2 linked regions of the Caenorhabditis elegans genome follow. The protein of the gene in region 2 interacts with the protein of the main gene of each other region in a pairwise test. Each region holds a gene or a part of one and is shown on either strand. Other genes may lie near its edges.

Region 1 (5,461 bases), on a different chromosome or scaffold from region 2:
TTTGCCACTTACATATGTTAACAACGACGAAACACATCACACGAATTTTATTGTTGCGCAATTTTTTAGTTGAATCACAGAATTATTAGAAAAATTGAATCATAATAGTTTAGCGTTTTTAATATCAAAAATTGCACCTCAAATCGGGAACTTGAGTTACCACAATTTCTTGTGTACTGGCGGAGAGAGGAGGATAAAGGATACAGGCAGCAGAGCCTAAGCTCAAGCCAAAGCCCAACAAGCCTGCGCGTAATCATAAGCCAAAGCCTTAGCCTAAGCATAATCTAAGATTAAGCCTAAGCCTAATCCTAAGCTTCGGCCTACGCCTAAGCCTAAGCCTATGACGAATAGTCAAAAGTATCAAGTTTTTCAGATTATTTGGAACATATGTAATTGAACATGTGATTGGAAAAGTCCAAGACGAGAACACATCCATCACCTCCCCACTCATCCTACCCCAATTTTCTAAAATCACATGGAACCTGTTATCAGAGTTTGTTTGACTTCTCTCGTTTATACGGAACTGAAATATTTTTTATGAAAAGTGTGATCACATGTCCGACGACACCCACTAAAAATTTGACAACTTCGTACTTTCTTCTCCTTTGAAATCATCAATTTCTCCTGGTCATAGGGAAAAGAGATAGAGAGAGAGAGAAAGATAGAAAAGAGAAAATAGATCAGTATCTGTCTATTTCTCTAATTTTCTCACTTATTCTTCATCGGAAGAAGAAGAAGATGAAAAAGACAACGTCATCCACAACCTGTCGTCCCCCACACACCCCTACGACCACAAAAACTGTCCCCGTTTTTTCGACACCTCCCTGATGTTTTTCCCGCAAATCCTATTAAAGCTCACGCGCCTAGACTTCTTCAGATAGCACTCATAAAAGCTATTATTCGCTATTTGTCAAGTAAAATTGCCACATTGGCTCCTGTCACGAATGAAAATTTTCCGCTACCGTACCCTTTATTTTTTGTTGTAATTTTCAATTCTTTTGATATTCTTGATGTAAAAATTATATTTTTTATCGAAATCCCGTCAAATATGCTTGGAAAAAACGAAATTTCAAGAAAATCATCATCTACCGTACTCATGGGTACTGTAGCTGAAAAGTTTCACTCGCGTCGAGACCCGGAAGCATCATTTTGCTTTGAAATTTGCGCGTTTTTCCGATTTTCGATTCAATTATTAGATGAATTGAAAACTATCAGCGAAATCGTTTTATCATTTGACAAAACCTGAAAATTTTCTAAAAATGTTTTTTGTCAGACTGAAGAAAAATTATTTTTAGATTAAAGGATTAAAGGATTAAAGGACGATCGGTTCTTCAAGTGCTATGCACTGCGGATCTGGGATTCAGGTACACTGCCTGGTGGTGATCCTCTGGGCTGTAATTTTAAGCCACGTCCTAGCCGGGGACTGTGGCCGATAATCCAGTCGTGGATTGCTCCACTTCCCAATAGACATTCTCTTATTTTAAAAATAGAAATGTTGCAATTAATCGGAATTTTGCAGTTGAGGGGTATCGCCCCAAAAAAATTTTAAAAAAATATGTTTCAAAAAAGTACTTCTTGAGGACTGAGGCGACTCAACTCTTCCCCCACCTTCCACCAATTTTGCTCATATAACAGTCCACAATTGTGTGCCCCTCAATATATTTCCCCTTCGGTATAATTGGCCCATTTGCCCTCCACAATCTATTCACACTGTCCATCCCGACCGTCCGTCTCTGTTTCTCTCTTCTCCGTCGTCCCCCACACTTTTCCTACCCCCGCTTGTCGTTTGCACGGCCTTCAAACCCAAAAAACCGATGAAAACCGTATCTGAAATAGTTCTACTCTCCGTTTCCTCGTTTTCTTTGTTCTAGAATGGTTTCAAGTTCGAAATTCTCAAAAAATTATGAGGTTCGAATATTACCCAGACGCAAAATTTTGAGATTTTTGCCCTGAAAATACGGTACCTGGCCGCGAAAAGGCAATTTCTGAGATTTACAAACGGGGGTGCGCCTTTAAAGGATACTGTAATTTAAAGCTTTCGTTGCTCTCTGATCAGATTTTAATTGATTTTTCATAGTTGATCTCACAATTTATTAAATCGAATAATTTTGAATTTTATTATCTTAATTATTAATAAAGTAATATTATTTAATAAGTAAATTTATTTTCAACCAAAAACTATGAAAAATCAATGAATACTGAAATTACAGTACTCTTTAAAGGCGCACACCCATTTGTTTTCAACAAAAATGTCATGTCGAGGGCCATTTTTGCAGCTGATTTTTGCTATTAACCCTGAACAACTAAAATTGAGAAAATTGTCCAAATTTCATTCATTTTAGCCATTTTTGTAAGTCGAATTGATAATTTCTGAAAAACTCCCGCCATTAATTTCAAATTACGATCTGCAAACACCATCACGTAAAAATGCACAGTTTTGCCTCACGTTAAAATTTGCAAATTTAATTTTAAAAAATTTATTTTCTCATCTTTTCTCCTCATATTCTCTTCATTTCTAGTAATTTTCGTTCGAACAATTCGATTTCAGAATCAATAAAACATTAAAAATGACGGAAGGGGACGATCAATTAATATCGATTCGCAAACAACTTGAAAATTTAAATAATGCAACAGATGACATCAACAGTTATGAGATGAAGTTGGAAACTGTCAAGAAACAGTTTTGGTGAGTTTTAATTCATTTTTTATTTTAAAATAATTGCTTAATCGCTACACGTCTAAAACTGGAAACCTTTTATTGCACTAGTCATTCTTAACCAATTAATTCGCAAAAAATCGTACCAAATCTGGTTTTGATGCTAAAATAATCTTATATATTTTCAGTGAAACCCAACTAATGTTCAACAAAGAAATGCTTGGAATCCCTAAAAAGTTGGCCAAACACATATCAAAATCCCGTCAATTTTTCGATTTGAAAAGCCGCGAATCGGAAATCAGAAGATGTGTTCAACAAGCGGCAGCTCAATTTGAACGACAAAAAACTTCAGTTGAAATGGCAAGAGAACAAGTGCAAATACTGCATAATTCATTGAATAACAATCAAGAATTGGATGCAGAGAAACAATATGTTGATGTGATTGAGCAACAGTTGGAATTGGTTAAAGAAGCTGAGGGAGAATGTTTAAAAGCTGAAAAGTGTCATGCATCACGTGTCAGGGATTTGTTACAGTTGGAAATGGCTTTAAGGAAATGTTTAGAGGAAAATGGGTGAGTTTCAGGCATCAGGCAATTTTCTGACAATATATTTTCCGAATTTCAGATCTGCCATCAAAAAATCCCGGCCCTATTACGAACGAAAAGAAGTTCTGACGCGAACAATGAATTCTCAACTTGAGTTAATGTCAATTTTGGAGCATGAAGTAAGAACTAATAAGAATAAAACTGTATATAGATTAAAATAATTTTTAATTTCCAGGTACAAGAACGAAAAGACAGCTACAGTGATTCGATGCGAGCTTTAGAGCAGATCAGCGATCAAATTCATCAGGAGCGTTCCTCGCAAAGCAGTTTGGCTCCTTCGAGTGATGCAGAATCCGACAGCTCTTGATACTCTGAGCCACACCCTTTCTTCTCAATTTTCCACGTGTAATATTAGATTTTTCACGAAGTTTCGAAATCTCGATCTCACTTGTACTCACGTTCCACACCCAATCAACTTCACCAAAAATGTATTTTTACGGGTTTCAATCCCCTTTCTCTTTGCTCCTCATTTTCTCTATGTATCTCTTTATTTTGTGTTCGTCTGGTGCTTAATAACAATTTTCTTGAAACATTAAAAATTGTGATAATGAGAAGACGATGAAGTGCCCACAAAAGCATCTACGTGTGCACACGCTGCACTTCTTGTCGGAGCACTGGATTTATCAAGCAATCGTGAAGCCAATGTGCATAGCTCACAAAGAGTGGATGCCCTTGTCGCTGGTGGCAATCTGAGGGTGAAATAGATTGTTGAAAAATTGTAATTTTTTGAAATTTTGAGACGTTAAAAAAAATCGAAATTTCGTTGACTTGCAACTTGCGCGTCATATATAGTGTCAAGTACGCATACACCGCGACGGTAGAATGCACAAAATTGTCAATTTCAAAATTTTCATGATTTTTCTTTTATTTAACAATTCAATTTCTCACCTGCTAACCGAAGCGGGTCTTCTTTCTTCTGGAATAATTGGAATTTCTTCATCAGAATCCCATTTAAAATACTGAAAATTGTTCACACGCCGGCCAAGCTTTGGAATGCTCTAAAAATATTTGTGTCATATTATTGTTTCACTTAATTGAAGAGATTACAGGCATTTCTATATCATTCCGATTATTGCTCAATTCCCTAATAACCAACAATTCATGAGTTTCTCTACGAATTTCTTCATCTCTCTTCCTCTGTTCCTTCGCTTTTTCCTCTTCTTCAATACGACGTTTTACCTCTTTCTTCGCCTCTTCCCGCTTCTCATTTCTTCTAATCAGTTCTTCAATTTCACTTGATTGTTGTGGTTTAGGTGGCTTGAGTGGTTCTGGGAGAATTTTCAGGCACCTATGACAATATTTCTCAGACTCTAAACCTACTTGGCTTCCTTAAATGCGGACGTAGATCATCCTCGGACAGAGTTACAGAAAATCGACGATCTGACGCCATAATTTGATGTAAAGTAAAAATGGAGAAGCTTTTTTGTCTGGTTTGCTGGTTTCCAATGGAAACTCTCCGTACATTTTTCAATAAAACGTGGATCTAAAGCTACTAGGCAACCACCAAAATATTGTAGAATTTGAATTTCCGCCATAATTGGTTGGTCTCATCACGATATTCATCCAAATTTATGGCCCAAAACCTAAAGATAGTTTTCCAGTATTTCAATAGGCTTCGTTCCCGTCAAAAATAAGTTTTTCGAGAAAATACAAAATATTTTGTTGCGAAACTATAGTTAGGAGGTTATATTCTTTACCGTTTTTCCGCCAGACACTAAATCTTTATCAGTCGGACAATATTCATCAGACCTGTAAATTTTCTCTGTGTCTCCGTCATTTCTTTCAAAACGCGCGCCAAAATTTGAATTCGAACAATTGGCGCGAAACCTCTATTGCGCCCGCTGATTTCGTTCATTCACTCATTTCATTTCTCATTCGCTTCGTCTTGTGTGCACTGGAAGTGCACTCATTTGTCTTTTTCTTGTTAAATCTTTTCAATCACCATTTTTAATTAAATAACTTTAGGTTTTTGAAATTGAATAGCTGCTTTCCGGCTTTTCAACACATTTATAGATTCTTTTTCAATATATAAATTGAATGTTTTTCCAACAAAAAAAAATCGTTCGGTCACTCCATTGGTCACTTTTTTATCAGTAAGCCTCGCAAAAACAATATATTTTTGATAAGGAATTCATTCAAAATTCAGTGCAAGAGCCCTATTCTAATTTCTCACCCATTTATTTGCATCATCTGCTCCCAT
Region 2 (7,444 bases):
ATATGATTTGATTGGTGCACCATGGGATGAAAAGTGAGAAAGATTCATTTTACAAAGAACCTTGAAGTAACGTTTATCTTTCAGTTGCACGGGAGTACCAGAAAACTTCACTAATATGTTTTACGATCACCAGATTGGAGAACATCCTATTATTTCGATAGACAATTATCGATACACAACTGGGAGTTTTCGGGTAGGAAGACTTTAAAATTTTTTTTTGGATTTTGCTTTACGCTTTCTAGGATATAGCTAAACTTCCGAGTAGCAATTTGATCTGACAAGTATGCGATTGGAAATCTGAGATTATTAGAATTTGGAACAACTCAAAATTAATGTAATTTTATTGCCCGCAATTTTAGAATAGTTCCGTTTTTTTTTTTGAATCGTATTGGAATTGTTTGAATGATTATTTTTCAAACTTCGAAGTATTTTTACTAGATTTATTAATACAAAAACATAAACTCATTTTTTGGTTTCAGATGATCATCACAATTGTTTATCCAATTTTTGGTGCACTTTTAATGTTTGAAATCATTAAATCTGCACGCTTCGCATCAGTGACACTCAGTAGACAAGATGCAATAGAACGGTATGCCAGCTGATTTGATTATTAACTTAACTATTAAATTCAATTTCAAGATATCGGTCGGGAAGGATGATAATGTGCATGACAATCTTCTACACAATTTCAAGTCTTCCTGGTGGTGCATTTGAATTTATCTGGATATTCATTAATCCACAATTTAATACAATTCTCCACATGGTTCTCTTGTATGGCGATGTTTGGGTTGATACATTTTTCTGTTTCAATGCGGCTGCACATTGTTTAATCAATTTTTCAATGTCACGGAATTATAGATCAACTGTGATGAAAGCGTTGCATATCGAGAATTGATGGTTCGATTTTTATTTGGGGCATTATAACTTTATATTCCGGACCATTTGTAGAATCGCTTTCAATTGTATCTTGTTTTTTTGATAAAACCCCAATTTCTTCCATAGTCTGCTAATATATACGTGATTTGCAACTACGATTCAATTCAAAAATATTATGTTTTTTCGAGTCCTGAACTTTTTCTACCTTATACACTAATTTACGATATAAATTCCTCCTTCCTATTTTTCTAGAGTTTAGAGGTTCGTAGATCCACTTCAATTAATTTGAACTATTTTCTAGAATATAATTTTGCATTCAGTGGACAAAGTCAAAAACATAGCTTCAGATCAGGAAACTATTGAGCAAAAAATATTTTCCTTAATAGTATTTTGTCGTAGTAGTCTTGGTGTAAAGGTGTGGTAGATTCAGTCACGTGGTGTCAGGCTGTCCCATTACGGGTTGATCTACGAGAAATCAGGAATTTCTCGAGCATAAACATGCTCTCAACCATGCGGAATCTGCTGAGAAGTCTGCGTCTAAATTTAAGAATTTTTTGTAGATTGTACCGATATGGGACACTCTGACACCATGTGGTCAGTTCCGTCAAGTATACAAATGAACCAAAAATACTGAATATTTATTTTTTAATCACTAGCATGTTTCACACTTTTTGTAATTTTCAGTATGTTCTTAAAGTTAGTTTAAACTTTATCACATTAAGCATTCTTGTATGTTCGAAACCCTACAAATCAATTACAAATTAATTTAATGTAATCCAAGTTAAAAGTTTTTTGGTCAACCTTCAAAACTATGAAATGTGAAAACTGAGTCATTTCTACCGTTGTGAGCATCATATAGTGATTTTAAAAGTTTTTACTATTGGCGTTTCACCAAATTTAAAATGGACTTTTAGTCGTTGAACAAAGTTGATATTTACAATAGAATTATCTAAAAAGAACCAATTATATCCTTTGTCGTTGATCTATGATTTCATTTTAAGTGACAATTATTGAGTCAGTGAGCAAAGTAACAATTTGTAACGACTATATTTACTCGAACTGTGTTTCTATTTACTTCTTGTAGACAGTATATAAATGTCTTACAAGAATCACTCTGAATTTTGTGTTCACAATGTTTTCAATTACATATATTGCTCTTTCTGTTTTCTTTTTGATTCATTGCTCCGATGCTTTACTCAATGTTATCGGAAGCACTCAAAGTGTTACTGTAACGGGAAAATTGGTTTGTGAAGGACAGCCAGCCAGTGGAGTTCTCGTGAAGATGTATGACGATGGAACGAGTAAGTTATTATTTGGAAGAACTGTTTTGAAACAATTGATTTTTTCAGTATATGACTCGAAATTAGGTTCGACGACCACCTCATCTGATGGAACATTTTCTGTTTCTGGAACATATACAGATATTTTAACATTGGATCCAAAAGTGAATATATATCATAGTTGTAATTACAATGGACCATGTTCAAAGAAAGTGACAATCAATATTCCTGATTATGCAGTTGCATCTGGAAGTAGCTCGACTGATAATTATGATATTGGAACTTTGAACTTAGCTAATCAGTTCAGTGGAGAAACCACTGATTGTATCCATTGAATGTGTACTTCCTAATAAATTTGTTTCTAGAATAATTGAAATGGGACATCTAGGAAGAGTGAATTCAGTTCATTTTTAAAATTGTAACTAAAAAAGCAGTAGCGCAAAAAATGCTACAAAAAATGAATAGAATGAGTGGGGGCACCTGGAAGAAGAGAAAAAAGAGGATCTAGAGTATTTTTGGAGACAAAAAGGTTCACTTAGTGAACAAATATTCAGAATTGTACAATTTCAACTATGTACAACTATTATCAACCCGGAGCAAAATGTAAACACACGGGTACCTAGGAGGAGAGGGCAAAGAGAGAGAGAGTGAAAAAAGACTACAAAAAAGAGGTCTACACAAAATATACAAGATAATTGGGAGGGGGGGGGGGGGGTGGCAGTAAAATTTAGAGATTTTCAGACTAACAATTATCATTGGGTGCACGGAAATACTTTTAATACTTCTCCCATTCCTTTGGTTTTTCCTTGACGAAGAATAATTGGTGATCCTTCACGAATGACTTCTGGTTGATAGGCGAAACACATTTTAACTACAGCCCATTTTCCTGGACGGATGCAGTCTGCATCGTCGATGTGAGTAATAATGGCAGTTGTACAGACACTTCCGATAAACACTGAAAAAGTTCATAAATTATTTCAGAAAAAATCAAAACTGAAAGTTGAAATGAGAAAAAGTACTCACCTGTGGCTTGAAATCCTTCGCATATGTATTTCGTCGAGTGACACAGCAGTAAAAGATTGGCAGTGAATTCGTAACAAACTGGTGGTTGATGATCGATTTCAGCAAGAACCATTCCCTTTAATGAAAATAATCAATATGTTTCACATTTCGAATGATTTTTCTGTGGAAAAAAATACTTACCCTTCTTAGACTGACACCGTCTGGAAGATTCAAGGATATCGATGCAGCTTCACCAGGATTAACACATCCTACGGCTTGCCGGCTTCTTCGAATCGACCCGACAGTAATTTTTTCAAAAGTTCCATCTTTCATGGGTCCAACAAGAACATCTGCTCCTTCATGCAATTGTCCTTCAGATAGCATTCCTCCAACTACTTGTCCAACATGAGGCACATTATATAGTTCCTCGATTGTGAAAAAGGCTGGGAGTCCAACTAGTTGAATACGTGACTCTGCAGTTCCAGCTGTAGAAAGGCAATTGAGAAGTGTTCTGAGACAACGAAAACCTTCTCCGCTCACTGAACTAACAGCAAGAACTGGTACGATACTACCAACGCAGAGTTCTTGTGCCGCCTTCACTGCGTCTCTTTTAGTTTTCACTCTTTTCTCGCGAGCTGTCATCCCTGCTTTCGCAACAAGATTGGAAACATCTTTGATGATTTTCTTAAGTCCTTGTCGATCGACTAGATCCATTTTTGTGATCAGTACAAACATTGGAATGTTTAAAGCGGCAATTAATCCAAGATGTTCACGAGTGGCCCACGTGATTCCTCGATCGGCGGCTACAACAAGGCAAGCGAAATGAGGAGTGTATCCGGTTAATCCATGAATTGTCGTTTTCTGATATTTTGCGTCTCCAGCCAGATCGATAAGTGTTACAAGTTTTGAAGACTTCTCCACCATTTCTTCGAGACTATTTTGTGCATAATTGACTAGCTGAAAAAAGTAAAAATTAGATATTTATAAATAAATTTAAAAAAATCGAATTTAAGTTTTTCAAATAAAATTTTTCTAAATTCATTGTTTTTGTATTCAAAAGTGGAGTAGAATCATTTTGAAATTTTGTTTTGAATGAAAAAAAAATTGACCGTAATAATCGATTTTAATTGATTTTAAAAGTTATAAAATCTTTCTAACTTTTTAAATTTTTATTTTTGATAATTGGGCGGGAATTCAAAAACAGATTTTTATTTTTTTATTTTTGCAAAATTGAAAAAATTATAAAAATTTTATGATTTTTTGAAACAATTATATTCGGTATTACCGTCCATTTTTTTAATTATTTAAATCAAAAACCCTAATAAATAGGATCCAACTTTAAAATTTTCAATAAAGAAATTATCTACAATTTAATCAGTTTACTGTTTTTTTTTTTAAATATTTTCAAGCATATTTTAACCCATTCTGAATGTTTCGAAAAATTTCTAACCTTTCCACGATTATCGAAGCCAATGACATCATTACAGACAGAACTGGTTTTTCCTGTTCGCACTTCGTGTGGAAATCTGAATATTCCAATTCTTGCTTTTCCGTTTCCGTCGTCCAGACAACCCTGTGTTAACACTCCACACAGTGTTGATTTTCCGACATCGCATCCTCCAACGACAGCAAGACGAACTTCGATGAATTGCTGGCTTTCAGGAACCTTTCGGACAAGTACCTAGAAAAATAATTTCATTTAGATAAAATATGACTCAATAATAATTACCTCGACTACAGTTCTCCGTGAATTTGATCCCTTAACAGTAACGTCTTTCTCGGTCAAAATAACCATACTCGCCCCAAGAGCTTGGGCCATCGTTCTCAAGGTCCGAAGTGAATCATTCAGTTCCTCGTCTGTTAATCCAGACATTATTCCACCATCCTCAACGCCAATTTCATAAATAGCCTCTCCTTGACCCTCACGAAGACGCCATTTCATTTGAGTGATCAGATGTTGTATACGAGATGTCGTTGGATTTACTAATTTTGCTTTGTACTCAATATTTCCAAGCTCCGTTTCAGGTGGCAATCGGTTTTCGGTGTCGGAGTCGGAACATTCATCGTTAGTTGGCAGTGAAGAGCTGAGAAGTGTTGGTCCATTTTTAGAGTCCGATATTGATTGTCGTCTGTAAAAAATAATATAATATACTACCTTAAATGATTTGGCGACATTAAATAAATTGAATTGATTTTATATCAATGTTTTAGAATTGATTTATTTTTTATAAGGAATTTAAATAAATGAATTTTGATTTTAGAAATAAAATTTTCAAATGTTAACCACACAATATTTATCGTACTCACCTAGTTTTGTAAAGTGGCTGATGATTCTGCTCATCGCAGAAATGTGAAATCATAAAATCCATAGTGAGATTGAGTTGTTTATTATTTTATGAAATGAGATAATCAGTTGGATAACTACTGCTCACGCCGTATTCGATCTATCATTCGATTCTCCGATTCTGGAACATCAAATTTTAATCATAGGGAGAGAGGTTCGGGTACTTGAGAAAAAAATGTCGTGTTTCGAGAGGTTTTGAAAAGTCAGTTGTTAACTGGTTCGGTCAACATGTAGAGATTGTAGAGAAATATGAGAACTTAGAGAATTGACGTATGAAGAGAAAAAAGTGGGAAAGGGGAGCCGCTGTTGTTTTCGAAAGAAGAAAATAAGACAGAAAAAATCGGAGAGGAACATAACAACAAGTTAAGTTGACTTTTGAACTGGAAATTTGTCAATATTGAAAAAAGGAACAGTGAGAAATATCGATTTCCACGTCGCTCGATTCTATGAAAAGAAATTATGCACACACAAGCTTCACAGTGAGCATGCTGAATGATTGAGCAAATACATGAGAGAATAAGAGAGGAATGAGATGAAAAGAAGCGTTCAAATCAAAAGAAACCAGACAAAATGGCGATTTTTTACGGGAATATGAACCTACTGATTGGCAGTGGACAGCTGGAAGAATAAGAAGATACTGAAGGAAGGTTGAAGTTGAAGCTTGGAAGACAGATGATGAGAGAGAGGAAAACCTGTTTCTTTTTGATTACGATCGGACGGAAATGAGAAGGAAGTAAGTGTTTTCACACGTAGGTGGGCATTGAGATCTTTGAAGGTGCATTCGACAGGTTAATAATCATTCTAAATACCAGGTGACAATGGAGGATACTTTTAAACAGTAAATATATTGGAATAAAACATAAAAGTTAGTCTTACTCAGAATTTCTAAAATTTCAGCCTTCTGGAACGAAAGGTAAAATCATAATAATAATACAAGTGGGGCTGTTAGTAGCCCTAAATACAAGTAAAATGACCGAACACAGCCGTTAAAGAATGTTGCAGAAAATTGCGAAATATTTCCTTACTCTTAAGAACAACATTCGATGTGACGCAATATGATGCATTTCCTTAGACAAAAACGTTCAGTTCAAAATAAACAACAATAAAACCGTTTGTACGATTTCTAGAATACGAGTTTATCAGTTGTTCGGAAAATATCTTATCAATCGTTTGACTGATGTTTTTTAACCATGTGAGAATTTGAAAAAAAATTTCATGATTGCCAAAAATTAAAATAAACAGGAAGCTTTTACCGAGTTTTCGTGATTTTCAGAATGAAGAAATTAATATGAAGCTCAAAATCAAAAGCAGAGGGAAAAGAAAAAATCGAAATCTTCTTTCGGTTAAACAACACGCGCTTGCGGAACTTCGGAGCATCGTATTTTGTTTTTGCGCTCTATTTTTGAATCGGAAACTGTTTTTTTGTCAGTTTTCGAAATTGTTTTTTTTCTGTTTTTTTACTTCATGCAAGAGTTTAACTTTACGCAAAAATTAATTAAAAATACGCAGAAGGCCCACTTTACACAGGAATTAATTGAAAATACTCAGGAATTTCACTTTACTTAGTCCTTTTTCCAGAGTTTCCAACGGAATCAATATATTAATTTAATTTCGCAACATTTTTCTTTGAATAAACCTATTTGCAAATGAGAATGTTTCAGATATTTGCTTATCGAAGCCTGGGAATTGCTTATGGCGAAATTTTTACGCGTAAGTCTGCAAATTTATTTTTACTCTGAAAATACTAAATTTATGAAAATTTCAGCTACACATCAGAGGAATTCGAAGTGTCGGTGATGAGGACCACGATGTTCACAAAATTGATTTCCTCTCTCCGTGCACACTAATCAGTGGACCAAATGGAACAGGAAAAACGGTAAGATCAATATGATTAGAGCATCATAACTTTTTTTTAAATTTCAGACCACCATCGAGGCACTCA

Evidence for each region.
Region 1: the proteins of slfl-5 (region 2) and rei-1 interact in a two-hybrid assay, tested with the Caenorhabditis elegans proteins (2 studies listed by BioGRID).

The regions. Positions count from the first base shown.
Region 1 is NC_003281.10:4,095,235-4,100,695, reverse strand, and holds rei-1 (Guanine nucleotide exchange factor rei-1), read left to right. Parts: upstream 1-2,505; 5' UTR 2,506-2,567; coding exon 2,568-2,686; intron 2,687-2,844; coding exon 2,845-3,228; intron 3,229-3,280; coding exon 3,281-3,380; intron 3,381-3,436; coding exon 3,437-3,568; 3' UTR 3,569-3,793; downstream 3,794-5,461. Other genes in the region: C03C10.7 (uncharacterized protein), read right to left, coding at 3,794-3,950, 4,150-4,259, 4,309-4,529, 4,582-4,651. UniProt on the Caenorhabditis elegans protein: Guanine nucleotide exchange factor for Rab GTPase Rab-11.1. Spatially and temporally regulates the distribution of Rab-11.1 to target membranes during embryogenesis. Plays a role in cytokinesis, probably by targeting rab-11.1 to the cleavage furrows.
Region 2 is NC_003283.11:12,239,422-12,246,865, forward strand, and holds slfl-5 (Tr-type G domain-containing protein), read right to left. Parts: upstream 5,624-7,444; 5' UTR 5,610-5,623; coding exon of another isoform or gene 5,580-5,609; 5' UTR 5,528-5,579; coding exon 5,466-5,527; intron 5,288-5,465; coding exon 4,888-5,287; intron 4,840-4,887; coding exon 4,609-4,839; intron 4,116-4,608; coding exon 3,360-4,115; intron 3,295-3,359; coding exon 3,180-3,294; intron 3,112-3,179; coding exon 2,909-3,111; 3' UTR 2,550-2,908; downstream 1-2,549. Other genes in the region: ttr-22 (Transthyretin-like family protein), read left to right, coding at 2,009-2,177, 2,226-2,491; rad-50 (Zinc-hook domain-containing protein), read left to right, coding at 6,225-6,235, 7,164-7,212, 7,268-7,378, 7,426-7,444.